Linked DNA regions of Macaca fascicularis. The protein of the gene in region 2 interacts with the protein of the main gene of each other region in a pairwise test. Links are inferred from orthologs where the notes say so. Each region holds a gene or a part of one and is shown on either strand. Other genes may lie near its edges.

Region 1 (3,654 bases), on a different chromosome or scaffold from region 2:
TTTTAAGTAAGGTTTTTGGCTTGGCCAACAGAGTAAGTGGTAGTGCCATTTTCTGAGACAGGGAACACTGAGGGGGAACACTAGATTTAGAGGGTGGAAATCAAGCATTTTGTTTTGCACATGTTAAGTACAGGTCAGATAGGAAATACACTTGGCCTTCCTTATCTGCAGGTTTTGCATCTGCAGATTCAACCAACTATGGATTGAAAATATCCAAAACAGTAAAAACAGGCTGGGCACAATGGCTCACTCCTATAACCCTAGCACTTTGGGAGACCAAGCTGGGAGGATCACTTGAGTCCAGGAGTTTGAGACCAGCCTGGGCAACATAGTGAGACCTTGTCTCTACAAAAAATAATTTATAAAAACTAGCGGGGCATGGTGGCACACATCTGTAGTCCTAGCTACTCAGGAGGCTGAGGCAGGAGGATTGCTTGAGCCTGGGAGGTCGAGGCTTTAGTGAGCTGTGATCCCACCACTTCACTTCACTCTGGGCAACAGAGTGAGACCCCTGTCTCAAAAAAAAAAAAAAAAAAAAAAAAGAAGAAAACCAATAAAACATAACTACAGTTAAAAAAAAAATACATTTTAACAAGTTAGAGTTCCAAGGGGGGAAAAACAATACAGTATAACTACGATTTACTTAGTATTTACATGAACTATAATTATAATTTAGAGATGAGATGATTTGAAGTATATGGGATGATGCGTGTAGGTTATATGCAAATACTACACTGTTTTATTTAAGGGACTGAAGCATCTACAGATTTTAGTATCCTTGGAGAGGTCTGGGAACCCATCTCCCGTGGATACTGAGGGATGGCTGTACAAGACAGATGTCAGGATAGTTCAGGAGTGCAGACAGAGACTTGGGAGTTATCAGCTTTCAGGTAGTTTTAAAACCATCATACTCTATGAGACAGATATGGATTTTGTCCCCAAGGGGTTTGCAGTCCAGAAGGAAAGAGAAAGTGTGCAGAATAGAAAGTGGTAACATGAAGTGATAAGGAACACTTGGGGAAGTGAATCATTTCATTTGGTTGGAATTTAGATGTAAAGTTTACTGGTTTCCCTTTTAAAGGGAAGGTTGCAAAGTACGATTTGACCTTGAGATCACTTTATCCAATGATAGCAAGGTGTTAAGCCTTTTGAATAGAGGGTAAAAACTAACTCTGGAATTATTGCCTCCTCCTTCTTAGTATTCTTTAATTTATTTCGAAGACCTATTACTTTCATTCACAAATCACTCTCAGATTTTCCCTGTTCTCTCCATTATTACTGCTGCCACCTAAAACTAAGCCTTCCTCCCTTTACTCCCCTGGCATCTCACTCCGAAATACTCTGCAAACCATCTTAACATAATATCCTAAATACTTCTATCATACCTGCCCAACCTTATTTTTCATGGTTCTTCTCCATCATCCTGTTCATCTCACTAAATTATAGAATTTATGGTACATGGTGAATAGTGAAAATTAATCTGAAAAAAAAAAAAAAAAAAAAAAACCGGAACAAAACCCAACCACCTGGATTGGTTCTCTCAAATGTCTGGTTATGGATGGGTGACAAATTTTGCCTTGCCTAGATGGAAGTGGGAAGGTCCTAACCCTTTTGACCTCATGCTTGAAAATTCATCATCCTTTTATAATTGAGCATATTTGAGATGAGCTCTAGGTCCCTTGAGTAATCTAGACATAATTTGTGTGGCTGAATATCACACAACTGCGTGACCCTCCAGAATAATTGGAGGTCTGGTGTAGAGAAGCCTCTCCAGGGATGGATTCTGCATCTGGTCTGTGAAAACTCCTTCAGAAAACAGGTAAACACTTGTGCATTCCTGGTACAGGAAAAAGTTTAGGAGTTCCATGACAGACTTTTTATGTCTAGGCTTTATTTTTTAAATTCTATGTAAAAAACATTAGTAAGTGTATTTCTTACCAACTATCCATAGACATCAGTCTAAAATAGTGGTGTTTTCTCTTTCTATCAGGTTTTTGCTGCAGAGGGTTTAAAACTTACTTCCAGTGTACAAGCTTTTTCAAAACAGGTAACACATGTCTACCTGCCTGGTGCTGGTGGTGGTATTATATATACCCACTTTGGGGGTATAATATCAAGGTATAAAGGTATTTAAGGTATTAAAGATGGAGTTTTGTTGCGGGCTGTTATAACTTGCTAAATTACATTTCAGCTGAAAGACGATGACAAGCTTATGCTTCTCCTGGAAATAAACAAGCTAATTCCTCTATGCCACCAGCTCCAGACAGTAACTAAGACTTCTTTGCAGAATAAAGTATTTCTAAAGGTAAAAGAGACATTTGAAAAACGTTCACATATCTATCTTTATCTGGTTAGGGAAAGCCCCTTTTTCTTCAAATAAAGTGTTAATACCCACAGAAGGGCAATTTTATTTCCTTTTTTTCATGCCTTGTCTACAAGAATCATTTATTATCTACCCTTATAACTGACCCCAGAGAGTAGCAGATTCACCAAAGAAAGTAGTTTTTGGGACATCATTAATTCCATAGCACTGAGCAGCTACCCTTCAATTCTGAAGTCATTTCCTCTGTAACTAGGACACAGGTGCCTCCGAGTCTGGTCTCCCATAATTTGTCTGAGAGAATATGGGTTTGTGCCCACAATGCAGAGTGCAAGGAATTGCAAAGGATGAGATTTAATTCCACTATTTGGAGTGTTTTGGGAAGCCCCTAAACAGCCTGCATTAGAATGATGAATTTTCCACCCACTCTTTCTGCTGAGGTTCCATGAGATAGACATGAGATGTAGGCAGTGACCCCTGCACCTGTGTCCTGGGGCTTTAAGTCAACTCATGTGCCTAAATCCATGTATCTTTCACAATCCCTTAGATTTCCATATGGAGAAAATTTTATCATGTTAAAACTAAATAAATGGTAAGGTCTTTTAAATACTACTTTTAGAATATCATTTGCATGCTTTTTGTCACTGTAGGTTGATAAGTGTATTACAAAGACAAGATCCATGATGGCTCTCTTAGTCCAACTTCTTTCACTTTGTTATAAACTGCTGAAGAAGGTGAGATAGCTTTTCTATTTTAGACTCATACTTTAAAAATTGGTTAAAAGGAAAATGCAAAAGAAAATAGTTACTACTTAATTTTGTAATTTTTTTTCAGAGTGAAACAGATACTAATTGTCTTAACTCTTTCCAGCTTCAGATGGAAAATAACGGATGGATCTCAGTTACAAATAAGGACAGTATGGATGGTAAAATTTGAGAGGCTTATGGGATCAGATCTCGGGAACATCATGTGATGAAGCTGACATTTTAAAAAAGCAAATGATCCTTTATGTTTTTGGATATTCATCAATTTTATAAAGAAAACAATATTGAAATTTTGCTCTATTTTCTGATCATGAAACTGTAAAGCTTTTTGACAACTAATAAATGTCATGGCAATTGCTAGATTCTAATTGTAGTGTGATTTAAAAATGGAACATTGCACTAGTGTTCTTTAAAAGTCAAACCAAATATCCCAACTGTCCAAAGGATAATTTAATCCAAAGAAGCTATTTTGAATATGTGTTCGCCTTTGGCATATTTTACCTTAACTGTTTTCTTTCTTTATCATCTAGATCACTAATTTCAGCAGCAAACATACAGTAGTCTGGGTGA
Region 2 (3,754 bases):
TGCATATCAATGTGCGTATATATAAACATATATACGCATACCAAAATATTGTATTTCTCATATGTGTGATGAAATAAAGAATAAATTGATGAAAGAGTATGATAAATCATTTTTAATAAGTTAGGAAAATATTACAATAGAAAGTGGGAGGAGAAGGAAAGTTTGGGAAATCAGTTTGTTTTACTCTTGAGATAAAATTTTGATGAAAGATAATAAAATAGAATTTTGAAAAACACCTGATGTTTCCAAGGCAATGATTTTAATCTCTTTTATTAAACTACACAAGTGGTTAAAAACTTGACAATTTGTTTCATATATAGCAAATGACGTGGAGTACAGGGATTTCAAATGAATGCTATAGGAATAAAGAGGAAGCTGTATTAATATCTCTGCCCAAATGATGAATTTGCAATTCAGTACTGTCTAGCTAGAAGTGTCAACCAACACCTATTTCCCCTTAAATAATGTAATTATGCATAAAACACTTTGTAGTCTTTTTTAAAGTTTAGAATAACATCTATATGACATACTCTGTTGTATTTTTCATAATGTTATGCCATGTAAGATACACCAAAACTTTGTATTAACAGTATATCATCAATTTAGATCAGCGATCTCTTTTTCATAGTTAAGATGTCTTTAAAAGATTCTGCAAATGAAATTCTAAAAGATGATTTTGTTAGACCTCAAGATGACTTACATCATTTAAATATATTCAAATGAAATATCTATTTGCCATACACTATTTGAATAATTCTTTACAATGCATTATTTGAGTAATTCTAAAAGTAAACAATACAATGTGTTTGACAATACAGTGATCTCTTTTACAGAGTAACTATTCTGTTTAAAAAACAAAATGTACTTTTATAAGTTTTTCAAACTAAGGCGAATTTACAAACCAGATTCAAATGTCAGACATCCAAATAGTAGTATATTGTCAAGCAACAAAATTTAATGTATAATATAGCCCTGAGTATATCTCCATTTTCCTTAACAAACTCATTGTCATGTTGCATAGGCATTACTTGATGATTTTTTAAATGCAGTGTGAAAAAATCCTACAGGACATGTTCCAAAAAGATTACCTTCCTTCACATTCGAAGAACTGAAAGTTTTTCAACTATCTATGACAAAGCAGAGGATAGGTTTACCTTGCTTCATTCCAGCAGAATTGCATATATTCTTTCAAAATTGCTCTATATACTGGTATATGTGGTTAATTATATAGAATATATATATATATATAAAATCACTAGCGATTTTGATAGTATTTATATTACATATATCAAAGAAATAAAAATGATAAATAAAAATATGTGTATATGTGTATATTGCAAACAACAGATATATGCCATGCATATTTTTGTAATGATAGTAAATATAATAGTTTTTCAATCTAAAAGCAATAATGATACTCACCAAAAGAAATTTATGAAGCAAGCAAACAATGTAACTAAATGTTGTATTATAAAATCTGGTAGCTTTTAATGTGACTCAATACATGGACAATGTTAACTTATTTCCACAAATTTTTCACAGTGGTAAAACGTCTGCCTTTTTTTTTTTTTTTTTTAGTAGTTGTGGAGCATTACTTATTTGGAGAGACTTATTTTTTCATTCTTAATTATAGGCATCGCTCTCATATCTATTTTAGAATAACTATACTCCACAAGTCAAAGATAGGTGGGGAAGAGATAAACTCCCATCTTTTTGGGACACACAGTCCTTATCATATATTATTTTTACTGTTGTGCCACAGTCCATTTTTAAATCCTTCAATAGTCATCATGACTTTCTTAAAAATAAACAAAATAGTTGCATTTCTATATGGAAGACAAACTAAAAAATTGAACTGAAAAGCTAGCTCATGATAGACTTGAAACATCTACTAAATATAATTTACTACTAAACATAATTAGGAGTTCCTCAAGTTTGTATGTTGTTTTCCCAAGAGATCATCTGATCATTTGATAGCATAGATCACATCATTATTTGAAATAATCATCATGGTATGCTATAGAAAAGAGCATTTGAAATAGTAAATGTGAGAAAGCAACATTACAATTAAATCTTTATCAATACTTTTCACATCCTTCAATTTTCCATCCCAACTCATTTTATTCTTTATTTTCTCCATATGTCAGAGAAACTTCTCCTAACTTTTAGGCCTCCATGTAGTTCCTATACAGTAGTTAGTTCAATTGAGAATATATGTCAGGTCAGTAACCTTTATGTAACTGTTACTAAATACAGAAGTATCAACTAGTCAAAATAATAACTGAGATATACAAACTATCTCACAGCAATCAAAATAATCTGTTATAATCAAATGACATTCTGCATATTCTATTACTGCAGTGGCTTATTAATCAAGAAATCATGTGTTTAATTCTTCTGCAAAGAAAAACTTATAAACTCAATTTCTATTGAAAAGTTTTCCCAATGAAAAATATATATTCCTGAATAAATACATATATATATGCAGTATATATAACATTTATGCTTCTTTGCAAACTACTGTGATAATTTAAAATCAATCTACCTAATTAGTGAGTTTGTCACAAACTAAACATTATGCCACAGTAAAATACATTTTTAGTTACTTTGTACTTACAACAGTCCTCTACTTCTTCCCACCAAAGCATTTTGAAAAGTGTATATCAAGGCAGCGATTAAAAAAACCTGGTAAAGGTTCTTCAAACTTTATTGCTCCAGTAGGCTTAAAAACAATGAGAAACCAACAAACTTCAGCAGCTTTAAAAAAATAACACTTCAGTTTTTCCTATTCATTTTTCTCTGAAGGTAATTGCCTCTAAGATCTGAGTCCCGTAGGGGGAAAGTGAGTGATCCCAACACTGAGTGAGTCAACACAGTAACTGATGCCAGGATTCTGTAGAGGCCCCTGGATATTTCAAATTCCAGGACCTGCGCACAAGCAAGTGACCCGCCTTCTCTCTCAAGTTGGTTTCCCATAATAGGACTGTCCATGGTCACTACATATAAGGTTGTGCTTCCAGCATGGCAAGCTCTGTGAATTCAAATAATGCTCAACTGTGTTCTGATTAATATCCAAACCAGAATAGCACAGTGGACATAGTACTAGCTTTTAAAGCCTTCCAAACACAAAAACTATTCAGTACAAAACCATAACAATATTTTCTGTAACTTTCATGTGAATTTATAACAGAGCAGAAAATCCCGATTTAAAATTGACTTTTAAATGCCTTTTTTATCCTCTCAACAACACCAAAAATTTCACTCTACCAAATAAAAAGAAATGCCCAGAATAATCTATGCATTTGTTATGTATCCACTGCCTACCAAAGTTATTTTTTCCCCTTGAGATTTTTGATTGCAAAAGTCATGTATTGATGATGCCAACAGTCTGAATAAGAGAAGCAGCAGCAGAACACAGCAGCTGAATTCTGAAGGCAGAATGTGTGTGTAGGTCTCATGGGACATGTTTTCCTGCTAAAATAAAGAATATTCTTATAATGGAGCAAAGACATTTTTCTCAAATCCTAAATTTCAGTTGTGAATTATGATAAAACTTCTTTACTAACAAATTATTCTTTCTTCCATTTCTCTGCTGCCAATTCTTAAAACACCATTTTCTTAGACATTGAGTTAATGATCATTTAATGGTTCTGAATGCAGGCTCTTTTTTTTCTGTATTAAGTGAATGCAGTTGTATTATGTCATTCAGCATGTAAATCATTCTTTGCCAATAGAAGTCTTCTTCATCTTGTTC
Region 3 (3,754 bases), on a different chromosome or scaffold from region 2:
CAAGCCTGTAATCCTAGCACTTTGGGAGGCCGAGGCGGGCGGATCACGAGGTCAGGAGATCGAGACCATCCTGACTAACAACGGTGAAACCCGTCTCTACTAAAAATACAAAAAAAAAAAAAAAAAAAAAAGAATTAGCCGGGCGAGGTGGCAGGCGCCTGTAGTCCCAGCTACTCCAGAGGCTGAGGCAGGAGAATGGCGTGAACCCAGGAGACGGAGCTTGCAGTGAGCCGAGATAGTGCCACTGCACTCAAGCCTGGGCGACAGAGCGAGACTCCGCCTCAAAAAAAAAAAAAAAAAAAAAAAAAAGAGTTATAACGGTGTTCATAAGAAGAACTACAGACCCCAGAGCTCTCAAATCGCTGGAAGGACTTCTGCGGTGGGCCTGTGCATGATGCACAGAGGACAGGTGGGAAAGAATCACAGACACCTAGTAAGACAACGGGGCATGGCTTTGTCCCGGTTTCAGAGCACCGACACATTTAGTCACCATTTACCTTCCTGGGAGGTAGATTAGGCAGGGGGCACACTAGCCCTGCTTTGTAGGAACAGAAGTAGAGTCTCAGAGAAAACAAGTGACTTGCCCAAGAAGCCTTATTAAGTACCAGCCAGGACAGTGTATTTTCTATTCCTTGTGTTTTGGGATAACTTAGTACCGTCCCCTCCGATGAACCAGTGCCTGCAAAAGCCCTTGAGATCTGGGAAACAGGAGGCACAGATCTTGGAGTTTACCTTGTTCTTAATCAGTCCTCAGGCAGTCGCCTCTAACGCGAGCGAATACCCGCTTCCCGAGGCCGTCACTGGGCAGAGGAGGGGCCAGGCTCCGGATCCCAGATCCCCTTTCCCCGCCCCGCCGTGCCACGCCTGCGCGGGCACGGCCGCCCGCCCCCAAACCCCTCCCGCGGAACCCGCAATCCTGCCTGCGCGGGCGCGGGACTGCGGGCAGGGGGAGGGGCATCGCGGCGCGTCCGTTGCTAAGGCCGCGCAGCCCTAGCGACCGAACGCCCTGCGGCGGCCGCGCAGGCGCTGTGGTGGGCTCCGGTGCACTGTGGGATGGAAACCGGAGCGGCGCGTCCTGGCGGGACCGGGCGGCGGCGGCGGGGCCGGCGGCGGCCAGGGACCCGGGCTTAGGCTCGGCCGGGCCGGCTGAGGACGCAGGCGGCCAGCGGGCGGCGGGCGCCGTCATGAACGCGGCGGTGGTGAGGCGGACGCAGGAGGCGCTGGGGAAGGTGATACGGAGGCCGCCGCTGACAGAGAAGCTGCTGAGCAAGCCCCCGTTCCGCTACCTGCACGACATCATCACGGAGGTGGGCGCCGGGTTCCGGGCCCGGCCAGGTGCGGGTCGGGGTTCCGGTGGGCGCCGAGGTCAGGGCCCAGGCCGGGTGGCGCCGGGTGCGAGCCGGGCTCGGGCTCAGGTGCGGGTGGGGGGCCGGGGCTGGGCCAGAGTCGGGGCCCGGGCCGGGTGTGAACCCGGTGTGGGCCGAGCTCGAGGTGCAGGTCGGGGACCCGGTCAGCGCCGAGTGTGAACCGAGTGTGGGCCGGGCTCAGGGTGCAGGTCAGGGGCCGGGTTAGGGCCGAGTGTGGACCGGGTGTGGGCCGGGCTCGGGGTGCAGGTCGGGGACTGGTTCAGGGCCGGGTGTGGGCCGGGCGCAGGGTGCGGGTCGGGGACCGGGGTGAGTTCCGGGGTCGGGGCGAGAGCTCTGTGCGGCCCCTGCCCGGGAGCCCGGCCTGTAGGCCCAATTCCGCGGCGCCCTCCACGCGGAGGTCCTGCCCCTCCCCCGGCTCCGGGCCGCCGCTTACAGGGAGGCTCCGGGCCCTCGGGGACCATTACTTCTTCCCTGCCTACCGTGTGTCTCCTTAGTGCATCTTCCATTCTGCCTGGCAGAGCTGCTTCTGTGACTCCCACCTCATCTAACCCTGCAGAACCCTTCTCACTTTCCCTGAAGCATTTAGCACGTGAAAGGCTAAATCCTGGGAGAATGGAAATAATATTTTTTATACAGCCTTCTGCCCCGAAGTTTCCCTCCATACCACATTTTGGGTGCTTAATAAATGCCTGTGGGTGAATTTAGTGGAGGTGGTGGTAGGGAGACTTGGCAGGAAAAACTAACAGAGCAGCACACCCTGCCCTAAATTGAGATTGGTGGTCTCTGTAGCTTTTCCCCATTTGCAGATGGTGTGCTCCTCAGTGACGGAGACCCTGGCTTGCTTATTAGTATGGCTCTGGTGATCTGCAGTGGGTAAGGTACATAGAAATTGCACAACAAACATCCCCTGTTGAGTGGGACCTGTCAAGGCTTGTGGTAACTCCCTGGTAACTCTTAGGAGCGTCACTGCGGGGGTTGCAGCACCCATTTCCATGGTGGACCCAAGGGCACGTGGGAACTCAGAGGTGTGTTTTGGGATTTAGGATTCAGGTTGGACTTGCAGACTTCCAGGGCCTCATGACCTCACCTGGTGATGGTCCTCAAGCTCTGTTTCTCACTCTTTTCAACAGATTGGGTGCCTTATTCTTGCACAGACTTTGCTTTACTGGGTCTGCCCTCCTACCTTAGCTTAAACTTGTGGGCTGGAGCGTGTGCCTCTGTGTTAAAACAGTGCCTAAAAATGCTCTCGAATCCACCCACATCCCGAGGCACTGCCAGCCCTGGTCACGTCCTCCCAGCTGGTGCAGCACTTACAGCCTGTCCTGGACAGTGTGTGGGGAGGGGACCTGCTGTGTGGATAGCCCGGTGGGAGCGGAACAGTGTGCCGCATCACCACTGTCCCATGAAATAGGCAGGTACCCGTCCTCTGACCGAGAGGGAACAAGAGCCAATGTGAGCCCAGCCAGCTATAGCTGTGGCTGCCAAAACCTTTATTCTCCCAGTCCTGTCTGCCCCACTGAAATGCAGAGCCCTGAAATGCAGAGGGAGGTGCAGGGAGTGTGCCTTATCCTTGTGGGGCAGTAGTGGCGCTCAGCTCACGGTGGCTGTCCAGTCACTACCACATGGTTGGTCAGAGGCATCCTAATGGGAGAGGAGGAAGAATATGGGCTGGGTGCTGTGGCTCACGCCTGTAATCCCAGCACTCTGGGAGGCCAAGGCGGGCCGATCACTTGAGCCCAGGTGTTCAAGACCAGCCTGGCCAACATGGCAAAACTCCATCTCTACTGAGAATACAAAAATTAGCTGAATGTGGTGGTGCACCTGTAATCCCAGCTACTCAGGAGGCTGAGTAGGGAAGATTGCTTGAGCCTGGAAGGTTGAGGCTGCAGTGAGCCGTGATTGTACCACTGCACTCCAGCCTGGGTGACAGAGTAAGACCCTGTCTCAAAAAAAAAAAAAAAAAAAAAAAAGGGGATTGCTTTCCTGGCCAGGTAGATAGGGTGCGTGGAACGAGCTGCGTGTTCCCAATTAGGAACTACTGGTCTGCTCTTCTCCCATAGACTTCCTCATCTAATGCCAAAGTTGATTTCTGTCCCTGTGTAAAGATAAATAAATTGTCACCTACTTGATAAAGATGTTAGAATGACTGACACATTGGAAAGGATTTTCAGATAATAGATGGGGAGCCTCTCATGAAAATGCCTTGCTGTCCTGAATATTATACACAAATTACTATATTAGTATTTTAGCTATAGCTAAACTAACCACCCCGTTTCATTAAGCTAAGTGTGGATCCTGTGACGTTAATGTCTCTTGTCACTTACAGTTATTGCTCACAATTTTTTTTTTTTTGTTTTAGAGGGAGTCTTGCTCTGTCACCCAGACTG

Evidence for each region.
Region 1: the proteins of DMD (region 2) and CTNNAL1 interact in binary tests that used the Homo sapiens proteins (3 or more experiments, as listed by UniProt). The two-hybrid records come from large-scale screens. The link is inferred for Macaca fascicularis from reciprocal best matches to the Homo sapiens genes DMD and CTNNAL1.
Region 3: the proteins of DMD (region 2) and TRAF3IP1 interact in a two-hybrid assay, tested with the Homo sapiens proteins (2 studies listed by BioGRID and IntAct). The link is inferred for Macaca fascicularis from reciprocal best matches to the Homo sapiens genes DMD and TRAF3IP1.

Annotation. Positions count from the first base shown.
Region 1 is NC_088389.1:49,182,317-49,185,970, forward strand, and holds the end of CTNNAL1 (alpha-catulin), read left to right. Parts: intron 1-1,990; coding exon 1,991-2,047; intron 2,048-2,191; coding exon 2,192-2,305; intron 2,306-2,970; coding exon 2,971-3,054; intron 3,055-3,190; coding exon 3,191-3,256; 3' UTR 3,257-3,444; downstream 3,445-3,654. UniProt on the Homo sapiens protein: May modulate the Rho pathway signaling by providing a scaffold for the Lbc Rho guanine nucleotide exchange factor (ARHGEF1).
Region 2 is NC_088395.1:33,307,064-33,310,817, forward strand, and holds the start of DMD (dystrophin), read right to left. Parts: upstream 2,885-3,754; 5' UTR 2,649-2,884; coding exon 2,618-2,648; intron 1-2,617. UniProt on the Homo sapiens protein: Anchors the extracellular matrix to the cytoskeleton via F-actin. Ligand for dystroglycan.
Region 3 is NC_088386.1:134,235,058-134,238,811, forward strand, and holds the start of TRAF3IP1 (TRAF3-interacting protein 1), read left to right. Parts: upstream 1-1,028; 5' UTR 1,029-1,184; coding exon 1,185-1,307; exon of another isoform or gene 1,308-1,335; intron 1,336-3,754.